Linked DNA regions of Diceros bicornis minor. The protein of the gene in region 1 interacts with the protein of each later gene in a biochemical or structural test. Links are inferred from orthologs where the notes say so. Each region holds a gene or a part of one and is shown on either strand. Other genes may lie near its edges.

Region 1 (7,334 bases):
TACTTAATATTTTATTTACTTAAAGCTACTTGTCCAGAAGTTTTAAAAAAATCTTTAATATAGATATTAAGTGTTACATAAACACAGATAAGTTTTTTTCCCCCAAACTATTAGGTACTGTCATTTAGTACTGGTTTAGTCAGAAAAATTTCTTAATTTCCTGAAATCTGGCAAGACTTTCCAAATACAGAAATTTAAAAAATCTATTTAAATTCAAAACGCTTAAAATACTCTGGAAAGGCCAAATTACATAAAGAGCTGTTCTAGTTAAGAGTCATTAGAGTCAAGTTACTAATATAATAAAGCAAAATTATCAAAATAAATTTATAAGGTAGCTAGAAAATTAGGGGAAATGCGTAGCAATTGAAACCAAATTGAAAAATATAAAATTTAGAATTCAATATCCTTCAAAGAGTGAGTTACATTTTAGATAGCAGTCCTAACGGGTAGCTAAAGAAAAATAGGGTGGAAACAAAATTCCTGTGGTTAAGGTATATACAAATGCAAATACCATTTATTTTTCCTCTGCTTTAAACATACAGCATAATAGCTTTTATCAATAATCTAATAAATACGTGTATTTTAGAGAAACACTTTCTCTATGTTCATTTATAACAAGTTTTTCCCATTTTTATATGGGCTTTTTATTGTTTAATATTTTAAATTAGCATCCTATATTTCACTTTATTTCACAATGATTAAGGAGGGGAGAACACCAAATGAGCATTTTTGAAAGTAGGAATAAATATGGAGTTAGACATTAAAATACTATGCCACTTAAAAAATATACCAAGGTAAAATGTTACAAAATAAATTATTATTTAAAGCTTATTTTTATGCTACAGAAATGTTTTATGGCTTAAATCACTTTGGAAAGTTATTTTTTTTAATGCATATTTTCTATATTGGTAAAATAACAGAGTGAAAAACTATTGGGGATTCTTCAGATTTACAAATATAAAATTCATGACTACAGAATATTTGCTAGCTAAGGACCAGAAAAGTATATAAAACTACTAAGTTATAATAAATTTTAAACAAATATTTCATAAAGCTATTCTAGTATAAATTAATATTTACTGAGACCAGAGGAAACTTACCTCACAAGAATGCTTCAAAGAATTAGACAGTTCATTTGCGAAATCTCTGTTGCTGTCTCTCGATAAATTATTAACTTTACCTTCACTTCCAGATGCAAACTTTATAAGTAATTGAGATGGTCCCCCCTTACAACAATTGTGCTTAAGGCTGGATAAACAGGAAACATTTGGATAAGTTCCTCCCAATGAAATACTTCTTTGTAAGATAGCATGGTTTTTGTTTATCTGTGAATTTGGTCTTTCCAACTGTCCATTGATATTTATTTGATAATCTACATTTTGGGAGGATGGTAAACATGCAGATGTTCTATGCATAAGCTTAATATACTCTGAACCAGAATTAAGCTTAATTTCTGACATCTCTGGTTTATAATCACCATTTGCTGTTTCACAATCTAATGTAGTTTCTTTTTGTTGGGTGAAATGCACTGAAACACAAGAATATCCTTCAGATGACTTTTCACAGACAGTCTGATTTGGACTATTATTTGCAACAACCATTTTCTTTTGTAATGAGCCCTTCCCGTGAAGTGGTCGTATGTCTCTTCCTTCTCCAGGAGCACAGATTGTTTTAGATAACCGAAGTCCGTTGACAGCTGTTGAAAGAAATCCCTTTGCACTAGTACCATCTTCATTGTGGGCAACTTCACTAGGAGAAATAATAAACTGGTGTGAGGTTTGATAGGATCCTTTGCTTGGAAGAGTACCTGTATTTGTTGGAGAAGTTGGTGGAGTATTTGAAGGACTCCTAGGAAAAATGACTAAGGATGAACAACGTTTTAGTGGAATTTTCGAGTTCCTGCTCACTGGCAATTTCATAATCTCTAGTCCATGCTCCAAGTCATCTTGGACAAACGGAACTGTACTTGTACTTCTTGAAAAAATTTCACATGGAGTAATATTCCTGTTTGGCACACTTCTATTGGAGGTGCTGTCCGCAGATAAATTTCCACCAAAAAAAGTATCATCAGTTGGTGTAAAAGTATAACCACTGCTGTCACTGAGGATACTGTTGGTGTATGAACCTCCACTTGTGATACTCGTGCATGACCCATAATCACTACCGTTGCTGCTGTAAGACCCATTCTCACTGGCTGAAAAGTTACTAAGGCTACCACTGCAAATGGCAGAACTGCCTAAAAGGTTACCATCATTCACAGCATTCAGTTCATTATCAACCTCAGCAATGCTGTAAATGCCTTCCTTCAAGACACAAGCAAATGAAGCATCATCGCCATCAGCTAAGACATTGCTAGACTGAAGACATCCACTGTACCTTGTTGGCTGTAGTGAAATCTGTAGACAGCTGCTCTTTTTATTAACATTTTCAGGTGAAGGAACAGATGATCTTTCCCGAGACTTAACGTTCTCCTTTAAGAACGGAGCTAGCGCAGTCTGTCTGGGAGTCAGCTTCATTTGAACAACGTTAGACGTTGAAATCCGTGTTGGTCTTTTGAAGCACATGTGAACACTGCTATCCAAATCATCTCCGGAGGTTTCTGACAAAGGATAAGTATTGCTTCTTCTGGCTGCAAAGTGCAATCGTAAGCTTTGTGCCATTTGTTCTCATTTCCAAACATGTTAAGGGCTAAAAGTCATAACAAAGATCTCTGTCTGTAGACAGGCTAGAAGCAGCTGCACTGCACTGAAAGAAAAAATCATTTGTGGTGCCTAAAAGAGCTCTTAAGTAGTAGTCTTTATCCTAAGTAAAACATTAGATACCAGATATCACAGAAAGAAAAAGACGACCCATTCCTGAGACTGACGTTTCCAAAATGTCTTGAATCGCTTGTAGTCAAAATGCCTTCACTTACAAAGCACTTGATTTCCAGCGACCTTTAAGCTGAGCTCAGCTGCAGCACACTGCCTCAAACACTGCCAACCTTGTTTCAATTATACCTTCTCCAATTTGCATGAATGAGTAACACAAGAACAACAATCTTCTAGCATTTCAAGTTGAAACAGTATTTTTTCACTCCAGCTCTACTAAATGAACATTTAACCATGTGAATCACGGTGCCTATACTTTCTCCAGCTGAGTTTGACCACTAATATTTTTACCCATAGGGATAGAATTACAGGAAGTTGGTAGGAACGAAACCCCATGTAATTGAGTATCAAATAAAGGATTGAATTTCCAAATAGTAGCCACACTAGGAATCTAGTCAAGTTAGTTAATGTAGAAAGGAATATAGACTTAAATTTTTTTTAAATGAGTAAGTTCAAATAGTTGTATAAATTTGGAAATACCAAAACTTTGGAGTGAATTAAAACTTTAGCATTAAATCAAATAGATAAAGATAAATATTTTAGCTTCCAAAACACTACTTATAAAAAGTGAACGCTTAAGGATAGAAATACAAAATTAGCCTAGTAATACAATTGCAAAAATCGAGCACACGTCTGAGAAAAAAAAGTTAAAGAGAAGCTGTCACCAGGCATTTTCTCCTGTAATTTTAAGGCCTTTTCCAGCCAAGTAGTACAGTCTTTAAATGATGCCATTTATATTTTGACTATCACAACTCTGCCAAAAAACAGCCTAAGCAAACATTCCATTAAAAATATATGCAGATTAGACAGAAAAACTATACCCCAATGTAGTTTGAGCACACAAGATATTTTATTCCACTGTCTCTGCAATTCATTCACTTAAGAGTGTTGTGGTAAGTAAAGAAGTCTAAAAAGGATTTAACACATCAAATAAACATATCTCAATGCCAATTCTGTTCTGAAAAACTCTAGGAGCTCTTTGCTGGCCCCTACTGGTGCTTTGAAACAATCCATTTAGCTGTTTGATATCTACAAAGAAATAAAAACCATGCTGCGTATTTCTTTATATAAACAAAGTACACACTTGTTTACATTTTTGAGTACTAGCACTGCCCTAGAGGTGGAATTCCTTACTACTACTGTTGATAAAGCTCCCACAGCAGAGAACAGTAGACTGTTTGTCTTTTTAGAGGTTGTGATTTTGTATATATATATTTTCTGCTTTGTATTTATTTAACCTTTACTTTATTTTCAGTTTACTAGGTAATAAAAGTTTAATATTTTAATTTCTCCCCCACATGTCATGGACCAAGGTTGGCATTCTATTTGAAAGAAACAAATTTATTTTTAAATAATACTCTAGGGTATATTTAAACCCCTTACCTGAATTTTATAGCTGGAACTCCAGTAATAAATATATACTGGCTCATTCATAGGAAAGTAAAGTAAAATAGTTCAGTTGTTTACACCACATGGTACTACACCCAAGTTGTATTTTTCTAGGTAAGTTTTTTTTTCCTAAGTAAAAGCAAATATGTAAAACATATACTTGCACTTTGTTTAAAAAAAAAAAAACTCCTTAAGATAAATCTGTTTTCAATCACAATTTTCTAAACAGTATTTTTAATCAGTTAAGACATGGCCAAATAGAAACATGGGATTTATTAAATTATATTTCCGACTAGAATGATAGTAGTATGTTTTTGAATGTATAATTGTAAACTGAGTAATAAAATTATTAGTTATTTTGGTTTTGTATAATTTCTCTCTTTTATGATTTTACACACTTCAGTAAATATTCCCTTATCATCCTTTTTCCTTATAGAAGGAAGAGTCCTAATCTTTTCATTTTACCTTCAAATGACTTCAACTTTCCTTCTTGAATTAAGTTAGGGGTCTGATAACTCAAAGAATGGATCATTTCTAAGAGGCTAATCAATGAGCTAGTCTAACTGCTCACGCCTGTGGCCTAAAACTTTCAGTTAATAAGCAAAGCTCCTCAGGTTGTTAACATAAAATAATGAACCCCAGGTATTTGGCCAGATAAAAGTTTTCTCTTTGGGAAGCTCCTCTATAAGCGTCAGTTTCATGTCCCCTAACTAGATTTTAAGCTTCCAGAGTAGGAGGACCATAACTAAACATTTCTTCTGATCCTGCTGAGCTCATGCTGGCAACACAGTGAGCACTAGGTAACAGCAGAGCAGAAGTTGGATAAACGGATGGATGGTCACTGCAGTTACTCTGACCTCCTAACGCTTTCAGAATTTTTTTAAAGTTGATCCAGCTACCACTTCTAAAGAAAAATCAAAAAACATTGCAGCTGGACCAGAAGGAATGATGCTTGAAAAATTTGCAAAGAGGGCTTCAGCCAAGGAAAAGTGAGGTAAGAATCATATGCACTTCCTAGCACTCCAGGCTGAGTTTAAATTCTAGAGGCTGAGCAGTTTGCTTTGCTGGCTCTGGTCTGGGATTGCACAGGATCTGTACCACCATTACAGCAGTTATGTGTAGAACCTGGGGTAAAATGTAGCCCCTTGGCCAAAAAGATGCCAAAAGAGGAACATCAACCCTAACTTCAAGAGGAGAAGAGCTGGAGACTGCTGGCAGCCCTTATGTGGGAGGAATGAATGCATAATGTCTTAGGATTAGATTGAAGCTCAGGACCCCACATTCTGAGACGTTTGGTTACTGATTATCTACACAGAAAATAATGTGATTATCTACATGCTATGGATAGGCTCTGGATAACCCTAATCATTGACTAGATCTTTGAAGGCCAAAGTCCACTGTGATGATTAATTCTATGTGTCAACTTGCCTAGGCTATTTTGCCAGTTATTTGGTCAAACACCAGTCTAAATGTTGCTATGAAGCTATTTTTTAGATGTGATTAACACTTAATTCAGTAAATTATGAGTAAAGCAGACTGCTCTCCATAATGTGGTAGGCCTCATCCACTCACATAAAGGCCTTAAGAGCAAAGACAGGTTTTCCAAAGAAGCAACTCTGCCTCAAGAGTACAATAATGAAACCCCGCCTGAGTTTCCAGCTTGCTGGCCTGCCCTGCAGATTTCAGACGCAAGACTGTAACATCAACTCTCACCTGAATCTTCAACCTGCCAGCTCTGCCTCACAGATTTCAGACTCACTAGCTTCCAGAATCATGTGAAGCAATGCCTTAAAATAAATCTCTCTCTCTCTCTCTCTGTGTATATGTATATCCCATTGGTTCTGTTTCTCTCCAGAACCCAAATACAACCACTAAACCTGAGAAGCATAGCATCTCCACTCGGGATAAAGAATACAGGCATCTCCCAAACTTCAGAGGCTAGATGTGTGCAGGTGCAGCTCTTAGGTAGTGACACAGAAGCACTAACTTTTGCATTAATGAGCAGAACTCATTTAAAGGCACAGCATCACTATCAACACCACTACCACCACTATCACCATAACCAAACTACTATAGTTTCTAACTCTCAGGTTCTTAAAATTGGCTGAAAAAAAGGAATTTAAGCCTACTCTTTCTCGAAACAAATACCACTTACATTGCAAATGTTTTCCAGATGACTAGAAATTGCTTCTGCTTAAAATTATATCTGTGCTCTTCACTGTACATTTCCAAAGAGAATTTTCTAGGAAAAGGAGACATTCTTAATTCAGTTGTGAATGCTACAGGAGAATAAAGATAAAATGACATTTACAGTGGCATAGGCCATTTATTGCTATACAATCAAGCCTGTTACTCCACCAATGGCTATAGTTTCTATCACATCTCAGGTGATCTGTACACTTCAATCACCTGCTAGAACTAGCAACAAATCAGAGGATTAGAGTGACACACACTGCCCTGTTCTAATCATTTCTTGCTCCCTTTTGCTAGTAAAGTGAGCTTCTTGAGAAAAGCTATAGTGCTAATGCACAGGAAAGTATCTAACATAGCAGATACCCTAAATAGCATACCTCAGTTAACACAAAAAATACAGTATCAGAAAGCCATAAACGCATGAGTCCATGAATGTTAAATAACGCTTTATATTTGTATCACGATGAAATATTTTTGGAGTGCTTTGATAGCCGTTATCTTGCTATATCCTCACAATACATTTATCAGCAAATATTATTATCCCTTTTTTTTTTTTGGTGAGGAAGATTAACCCAGAGCTAACATCTGTTGCCAATCCTCCTCTTTTTGCTGAGGAAGATTGGCCCTGAGCTAACATCTGTGCCCATCTTCCTCTATTTTACAGGTGGGACGCCTGCCACAGCATGGCTTGGCGAGCAGTGCATAGGTCCGTGCCTGGGATCCGAACCTGTGAACCCTAGGCTGCTGAAGCAGAGCATGCAAACTTAACCACTATGCCACTGGGCTGGGCCTCCTATTTTTTAAACATAAGAAAATATTTTCAGAAGGATTGAATAATTTGTCCAGGGTTATAAGCCAATGTATCAAATCATAGGCAGGACT
Region 2 (7,027 bases), on another chromosome or scaffold:
TTATATAGAAGAGTTCACTTCTTTGATGAGTTACCAAATATATTGTCTCATCTTTTCTCTGAAATGCAAATTTTCTCTCAAAGAGGACAAACTTTCATTTCAAAATGGGGTCATCCGTAAAAATAATTCCGGTCACGCAGCGGTTAAGTTCCACCACTCTGCTTTGGCAGCCCGGGGTTTGCAGGTTCAAATCCTGGGCGTGGACCAATGCACTGCTCATCAAGCCATGCTGTGGTGGTGTCCCACATACAAAATAGAGGAAGATGAGCACAGATGTTAGCTCAGAGCCAATCTTCCTCAGCAAAAAGAGGAAGATTGGCAACAGATGTTAGCTCAGGGCCAACCTTCCTCACCAAAAAATAAATAAATAAGTAAGTAAGTAAGTAAATAAATAAATAAAATTTCAGCAGTTTGAATCCAGAACACAGAAAAATTACTCCTAGAACAAAACCCAAATGCTCAGTGGGCCTAAAAGATTTCATTTGCGTATGAATTGGCTCTATCTCCATTTCCATTCAGCTATGTTCTCTTCTTGAGATAAGCAAATAACCAGTGTGACCTCAGAAATGATCCTTCTCTTGTCAAAGCCAACAGCATTCCTTAGACTTCCAGTCCTGGACAGCTGGAAGGGGCCAGAGAGGTCTAGCACCCTAAGGACAAATGAGGGAATGCAGAGCCATGATTCTGGACTGGGTGACAGAACGGGTAAGCACACAGTTGAGAATTTCGCCCAGTGCATCAGATTTCTAATCCATGCAATTTTGAGGTGGCTCTGCTGAGACACCCATCTTCAGGGAAATAACAACCGATGCCAATCCTCCTCTTTTTGCTGAGGAAGATTGGCCCTGGGCTAACATCCATGCCCATCTTCCTCTACTTTATATGTGATGCCGCCGCAGCATGGCTTGACAAGCAGTGCGCGCCCGGGATCCGAACCTGAGAACCCAGGGCCGCAGTGGCAGAGCGTGCGCACTTAACCATTGTGCCACCAGGCTGGCCCCTGCCCCCAATTTTAATTTGCCCGTTCCTCTGTCACCCAGTCCTGCTGTCATTTACCTTACTGTACATTGTCCTTGGTGTGGTTGAATGGGTCCTTAACAATTACCTGTCCACCTTGCTCTCTGCAGTGTTCATCTCTGCCCCCTTCCTGGTTTACCTGCCAGATGCAGGTGTTGCCTTGAGTGTCTCACAGTAACAAAACATTTTTGCATACCTACCAGAAGCCAGGACTGTATTTCAATAATTCAAAAAATTATATTTTTATATTTATAATTATTGATAACAATTTATCGTAATTGAATAAGCCTGAAATTTTACATTTGAATGCTTTAAAATACAATTATTTTACTTTTAAATTTATTTTGGATTTATTTGAAACATTTCAAACATTCAATAGAAGTAGGGAGAATAGTAAAATGGACAGCTTCGACAAATACCCACACTCTGCTAATCTTGTTTTATTTATCTCCCAGTTTTTGGGGAGGGGGCTGGAGTAATCGAAGATGAATCCTAGACATACTTTCACCCCAAATTCTTCATTATGCATCTCTAATAGATAAGCACTTAAAAAAAAAACATAACCACAATGCCATTATCACATCTAACAAAATTAATAATTTCTTAACATCTATATCAAGTCCACATTTTATTTCCCTGATTGTCTCAACAATGTCTTTTTAACAATTGGTTTACTCAAATCAGAGCCACACAAGATCTAAATATTGCATTTGGTCTACTAGGCATTTTAAAAGCTCTTATTTATAAGCATTGGACCTTCACATTAAACCAATGAAGAATGTGTGGTCCCAGTTCACAGGTTAGAGAGCTGGGGCTCAGAGAAGTTAAGAAACCTCCCCAAGGTCTCATTGCTGGTGGAGTCTAGACCCAGAGTTAAGGTCTGCCTAAGTCCAAAGATTTCCATTCTACTTCTTCCCCATCAGGCCACCAGAATTTTCCCTGTGTTGCAGGGAGGCAAGAGGGCTAGTGGTTAAGAGAGGATTTGGGCTCAGGTTGGCCTGGATACACATTGGAGCAAGTTATGTCATCTCTCTGATCCTCCACTTTTGTCTGCATCTGTAAAATAAGGATAATGAGGATGGTTTGGGGCTGATTAAATAGGATAAGGCATGTCTAGTCCTTAGCACAGTGCTTGGTCCATAGAAAGCACTCAATAACTGTAGAGGAGGAGAACGAACCACAAAGGGTTTGTTTGCTTTTGTCGGTAGCTCAGGAAACGGTGGTTCATCATTGTTAATACAACCTGTTTAGGATTCAGGCTGAAGGGGTGGGGAGGGCAGGGGTAGGGGTAGGAGTAGGGTGGTGATTCTGCCTGGATTGGAGAAGGGAGTCCTGGACATAAAGATTTAAATAGGCATCTGAGGGCTTCTCCCCAGGCCTCAGCTGGAAAACTGGTAGGTGGCAGAGAGGGTGGGAGGGAGACTTCTCTACGTTTATTCATTTATTGTAATTTTATTTATTTTTTCCCCCAAAGCCCCAGTAGATAGTTGTATGTCATAGCTGCACATCCTTCTAGTTGCTGTATGTGGGACGCAGCCTCAGCATGGCCGGAGAAGCAGTGCGTGCATACGCGCCCAAGATCCGAACCTGGGCCGCCAGCAGTGGAGCGTGGGCACTTAACCGCTAAGCCACGGGGCCGGCCCTCTACGTTTTTTAAAATTTGGAACCATGTGAATGCATTAAACATATCCCAAAAAATGAACTGCATTAAAAAGACTCTTTTACCATGGGGGTCAGTGCTGAGAATGGGAAGACTAGGACCTAATGATAATAATAATAATAATAATCCCTTTATACTTGTTGTAGCCCTAGGAGGGCTTCAGTTATACAAGGCAGGTTCTGCACCAGGATTGGGACTATTTCAGCCTGACTCTGATTTCAAAGATCCAAGGGAATATTTTAATCTCAGCTATCCTTCCTCTGACACTCATTCTAAGAGCCCAGAACCAGCGCTCACAGATTGGGGATTATTCACCCGGGGATTGTCTTCAAGCATATGCATTGTTGAGGGCTGAATCTATTGGCTAAATAAGGTCTTTGTATGTACTGTCTGTGCATGTATCTGCGCTTTCCCAGTTTTTTAGGCCATAGATCATCTTTGATGCTAAAATCACTTAAGACTCTGGGGCCTTGATTTTTCAGAGTCCTTAGGAAGGGAGGAGGTGCATAACCCCACTCACAAACAATCAAGAACTTGCCTAGACACTGTGCTAAGGCCTTTACATATATTAACTCACAATAACACTACACTCTAGGTACCATGATTCAGACTTTACAGGCAAAGAAACTGAACCAAACGAGGTTAAGAAATGTGCCCAAGGCCAGAGCTTGCAGGCTAACCAGTAGGCAATACTACCTCTCTGTTGGCAGTGGGCCAAGTATGTAGGGGTCCTTTGAAGGTGACACAAGCGTCCTTGGCTGTGTAGCAGCCATACCTTGGGTCCCAAATCCTTCCTTCTCAGCAACGTCTGGTTTAGCAGGAGGAAAGACCAGTGTGTGAACTTCTGCATTGGCCCTGGGTAATTTACTTTCTCCCTCTTAGCCTCAGGTTCCTTATCTGCCCCAGGGAGGAGCTTCAGATGAAAGACCTCTCCTTGCATTACCTGTGTGGGTGTGTGCTGGGGGTGAGAGGTGGAGAGGCTGAGGTTTCTGGCCGGTGCGCTGCTTTTCCCAGGTCTCTTGAGGAAACCGGGTTTTTGAGGTTCTGTCTCAGCCAACTCCCTCTCAGGAGGTCAAGGCTCAAGCTTGGCTATTCCTCCTCTGCTGGGAAAAGGGCCGCCACTGGGGCCAGCTCCGGCCACAGCCTGCCTGCCCTGAGGTCTAGGGTGGGTCTTTCTCCTCTGAGGGAGTTAGAGATGAGATTGTATCTTTAGGAAGGCCTCTTGGAGATAGTGACAGTTGAGTCCTGAAGGTCTAGCAGGAGTTAGTAAGAAGAGGTGAAGAGGGAAGGCTTAGCCTCCCCCCCCCCCCCCCCGTCCCCACACCACAGAACAAAGAAGCACCATCGGGCTTACAGTATAGGAGGAGCCGTGAGAGTGGAGAGGTCTGTAGAGGCGAAATCACGCGGGGCCTTCAGAGCTTGGCTTTATTCTAAGAGCAACTGGGAGGGGTTGGAAGGAGTGTAATCAGGAGTTTTAGAGAGACTCCTTTAGCCGCTTGGGAAGAATGGGTCCGAGGGAGGCAGGAGGCTATCACAGAAAGCAGTCGGGTTGGAAGATGACCGAGGACTGAGGAAAGGCGTGGGGGGCGGGGACTGAGCATCTGAGCCTTTCTCGGTCCCCGCGACACTGTGCGCTGTCCCTCGACTTTCTTTGCTTGTATGGAAGGGCCCCGTAAAGGGCTGGGCACCGGCCAAACGCTCATTGAGCGAAATAGCCCAGACTTCCCTCCTCTTTCGGGGGCCTTCTGGTCCAGGTGCCCCAGAATTGGGAGGCTTATGCGGGAAAACTTACCACTGCTGAAGATGGAGAACCGTTACCCCTCAAAATACACAAAAACCTCGGCCGCTTTTGGCAGCATTCTCCTCCGCCCATGACCTCATGCTTTAAGCTCCCATATAGCCTTCCTCCGCCCTGTCCACACCCAGCGCCTGAATGGGGGTGGGGCGCGGGACAGTGGCGAAGGTCCGGATAGCGAAAGCACCTTGTGTATCCCGCGCGAGATTTGGAGGAAGGGGCGCAACGATTTCCCTGCACTGAGAAAAAGCATGGTTTAACTTTCCTTTGAGAAAAAACCTCGCTGTCTTGTGGGCCCTCCATGAGATAGACGCCTCGAACCCGGCTGGAGGTGGTCTGTTTAGCCGAACCATCTTTGGTTCACGTTTCCTCGGACCAGGAAAGAGGTGTGGGGTCCCGGGCTGGACAGATGGGCGGCCGCGCCTTCGCGGGACCTGGGGGCTGTCCTGCTCTCACCCCCCTGGCGCCGCCGAGGTTTGAACCCTTGGCTCGCCTTTCAGCCCGCGCCCTGCCCCCTGCTCGCAGCTGCTCTCGGTTTGGGTGCAGCGGTTTCCCCCGCAGAGGAGAAGGAGGAGACAGCGCAAGGAGCGACTCCCGGCTCGGGTTTCCGCACCAATGCCGAGCAGCCCCGGGCGGCCCCCGGCGGCCGTCCCTCCTCCCCGGCACCACGTTCCACAGTCATGGCGCGCGAGGAGGGGCGAGCGCGCGCCGCGGCGGCACCCGCGCCCCCTTCCCTCCCCTCCCCTCCGCCGCCCGGCCCCGGCCCCTCTCCTAGGCAACCTCCCTCCCCGGCCTGCTGCGCCGCCGAGATGGAGACCCCTCCCCAGGGAGCGGCATTTCCAGCGCCGTATGCAGCACCCCCTCCCCGCCCCCATCGGGGCGGAGGGAAGAAGCCGCGCGCTCCGCGAACCTCCAGCTCCTTCCCCGGAGCCTCAGCCCCTCTCCCAGCCCCACCGAGGCCGGGGTGCAGTGGGGGGTAGGCGCAGACCGTCTCCCCGCAGCCCCCCTAGAATTTGGCTTCTTTGCAACCCCTTTAAAAAAATAAAGAAATCCCCAAACCCTAGTCATCAGATTGCAAAGCGCGTTACAATAACCGGGACGGCTACGCAGGAAGCAATCCTGCACTGGTACGGGTCTAAGACGGCAGCTTCCCGGCCAAGCCGCTTCTCCGGGGCCTCAATTTTCCGGCCTCCCCGGAGAGTCTGCCACACCCCGGGGCTGACAGGTCCTACACGGGGCTGCAACTCGGTCCGCGCCCCCCGCCCCATCCTTGAACAGAGTCTCGCCAGCCTACAAAAGGTGCAATCTCACGCACTTGCAGAGCACACAAATAAGGTCGGCAGCGCATCGCGGGGAAGGCTGCTAACAATGCGCAGGGCAGCCTGCGCCGGAGCGCGGCGCCCCGGGGAACAGGGGGCGCGGGCGGGGGCCGCGGCGGAGGACCGGCCGGCCGCGGCGCTGGACACCTTACTTCCTGCTTCCCCGCCAGACCCAGCTCTGCGGAGGGATATCTCTCCCCTCCTCTGTCCCTCTCTCTCCCTTCCCCCGGCCTCCCCCCTTTTTGCTTCTGCTCCCCCCCCCACCCCGCCTTTCTCCTTTTGCAAGAAAATAATTTGACAGTCGATTTGCTGACAGGGGAGGAATTTGCATCCTGGATTAAAAAAAAAAAAAGGCCGAGAGGAGCTTGGGAACGGTTGCTAGGGGTGGGTAATGGTTGAAAAAAGGGGGGCGCCGGGGAGCGGATAAGGAGGGTTAAGGGAGGGGGCAAGGGTGGGGAGCAATGCAAAAGGTAAGGCCAGGTTACCGCGGCTCGGCCCCGAGTGGGCTACGGCCGGGGGAGGGGCAAGAGATACATATGTATTTCTGTCTCCCTAGCACACCCCCTTCCCTCTAAGCGATGGCTGAGAGGCGGTGCATGCAGATGGGGAGTAAGTTTCCTGAAGGGGAGGGTGGATGCACGCGCGCGGCCCCGCGCTGCAAATTTCCACCGGGGAGGGAGAGTGGCTGGATGCGGAGAGTTTGGAGTTGCTTGCGGCGGAGGGCAGGAAGGGGAGCAGGGCCGGGAAAGGGGGCTGGCGGGCGCTATTTCTGGGAGTAAGTTTCCAGGATCAGGAGAGCCTGCACGCTAGCTCGCTAGTAAGTTTCTGGCCGGGGAGGGCGCGAGGGGAGGAGGAGAGGGAGGGGTGCATGTATATAGAAGGGGGGGAGGGGGGAGCAGATTTCCTGCGGGGAGGTTGAATGCATATGGAGAGTAGATTTCCTGGAGGGAGGTTGGAGGCGTAGACGGACCGAGTAAGTTTCTTGCTGGGGTGGTAGCAGAGGCGGTGGGTTGGTGCTTTGGAAACCGGGAGCTTCCTACCGGGCGTGGGGGAGCACGCTATTGGGTGGAGGGGGGGCGAAGGGCCAGGTTCCCTACTGGGGAGAGGGGCTTGCATCTGGGGAGTATGTTTCCTGGCGGAGCGATATTTGTTTACAGGCTGAGGGCAGTACTGTAAGTGAGTAGCGCTTCGAGAAGGCGGCTCTGACATAAATTAATATTGAAATTACTCCATCAG

Evidence for each region. The genes of interacting proteins can lie anywhere in the genome.
Region 2: the proteins of NEDD4 (region 1) and TRERF1 interact in a test that uses a peptide from one of them, tested with the Homo sapiens proteins (2 studies listed by BioGRID and IntAct, with this or other methods). The link is inferred for Diceros bicornis minor from reciprocal best matches to the Homo sapiens genes NEDD4 and TRERF1.

What each region holds. Positions count from the first base shown.
Region 1 is NC_080744.1:51,373,383-51,380,716, forward strand, and holds the start of NEDD4 (E3 ubiquitin-protein ligase NEDD4), read right to left. Parts: upstream 3,037-7,334; 5' UTR 2,661-3,036; coding exon 1,101-2,660; intron 1-1,100. UniProt on the Homo sapiens protein: E3 ubiquitin-protein ligase which accepts ubiquitin from an E2 ubiquitin-conjugating enzyme in the form of a thioester and then directly transfers the ubiquitin to targeted substrates. Specifically ubiquitinates 'Lys-63' in target proteins.
Region 2 is NC_080753.1:23,087,165-23,094,191, forward strand, and holds the start of TRERF1 (transcriptional-regulating factor 1), read left to right. Parts: upstream 1-3,988; 5' UTR 3,989-4,060; exon of another isoform or gene 4,061-5,135; intron 5,136-6,053; exon of another isoform or gene 6,054-6,175; intron 6,176-6,306; exon of another isoform or gene 6,307-6,400; intron 6,401-6,408; exon of another isoform or gene 6,409-6,608; intron 6,609-6,745; exon of another isoform or gene 6,746-6,764; intron 6,765-7,027.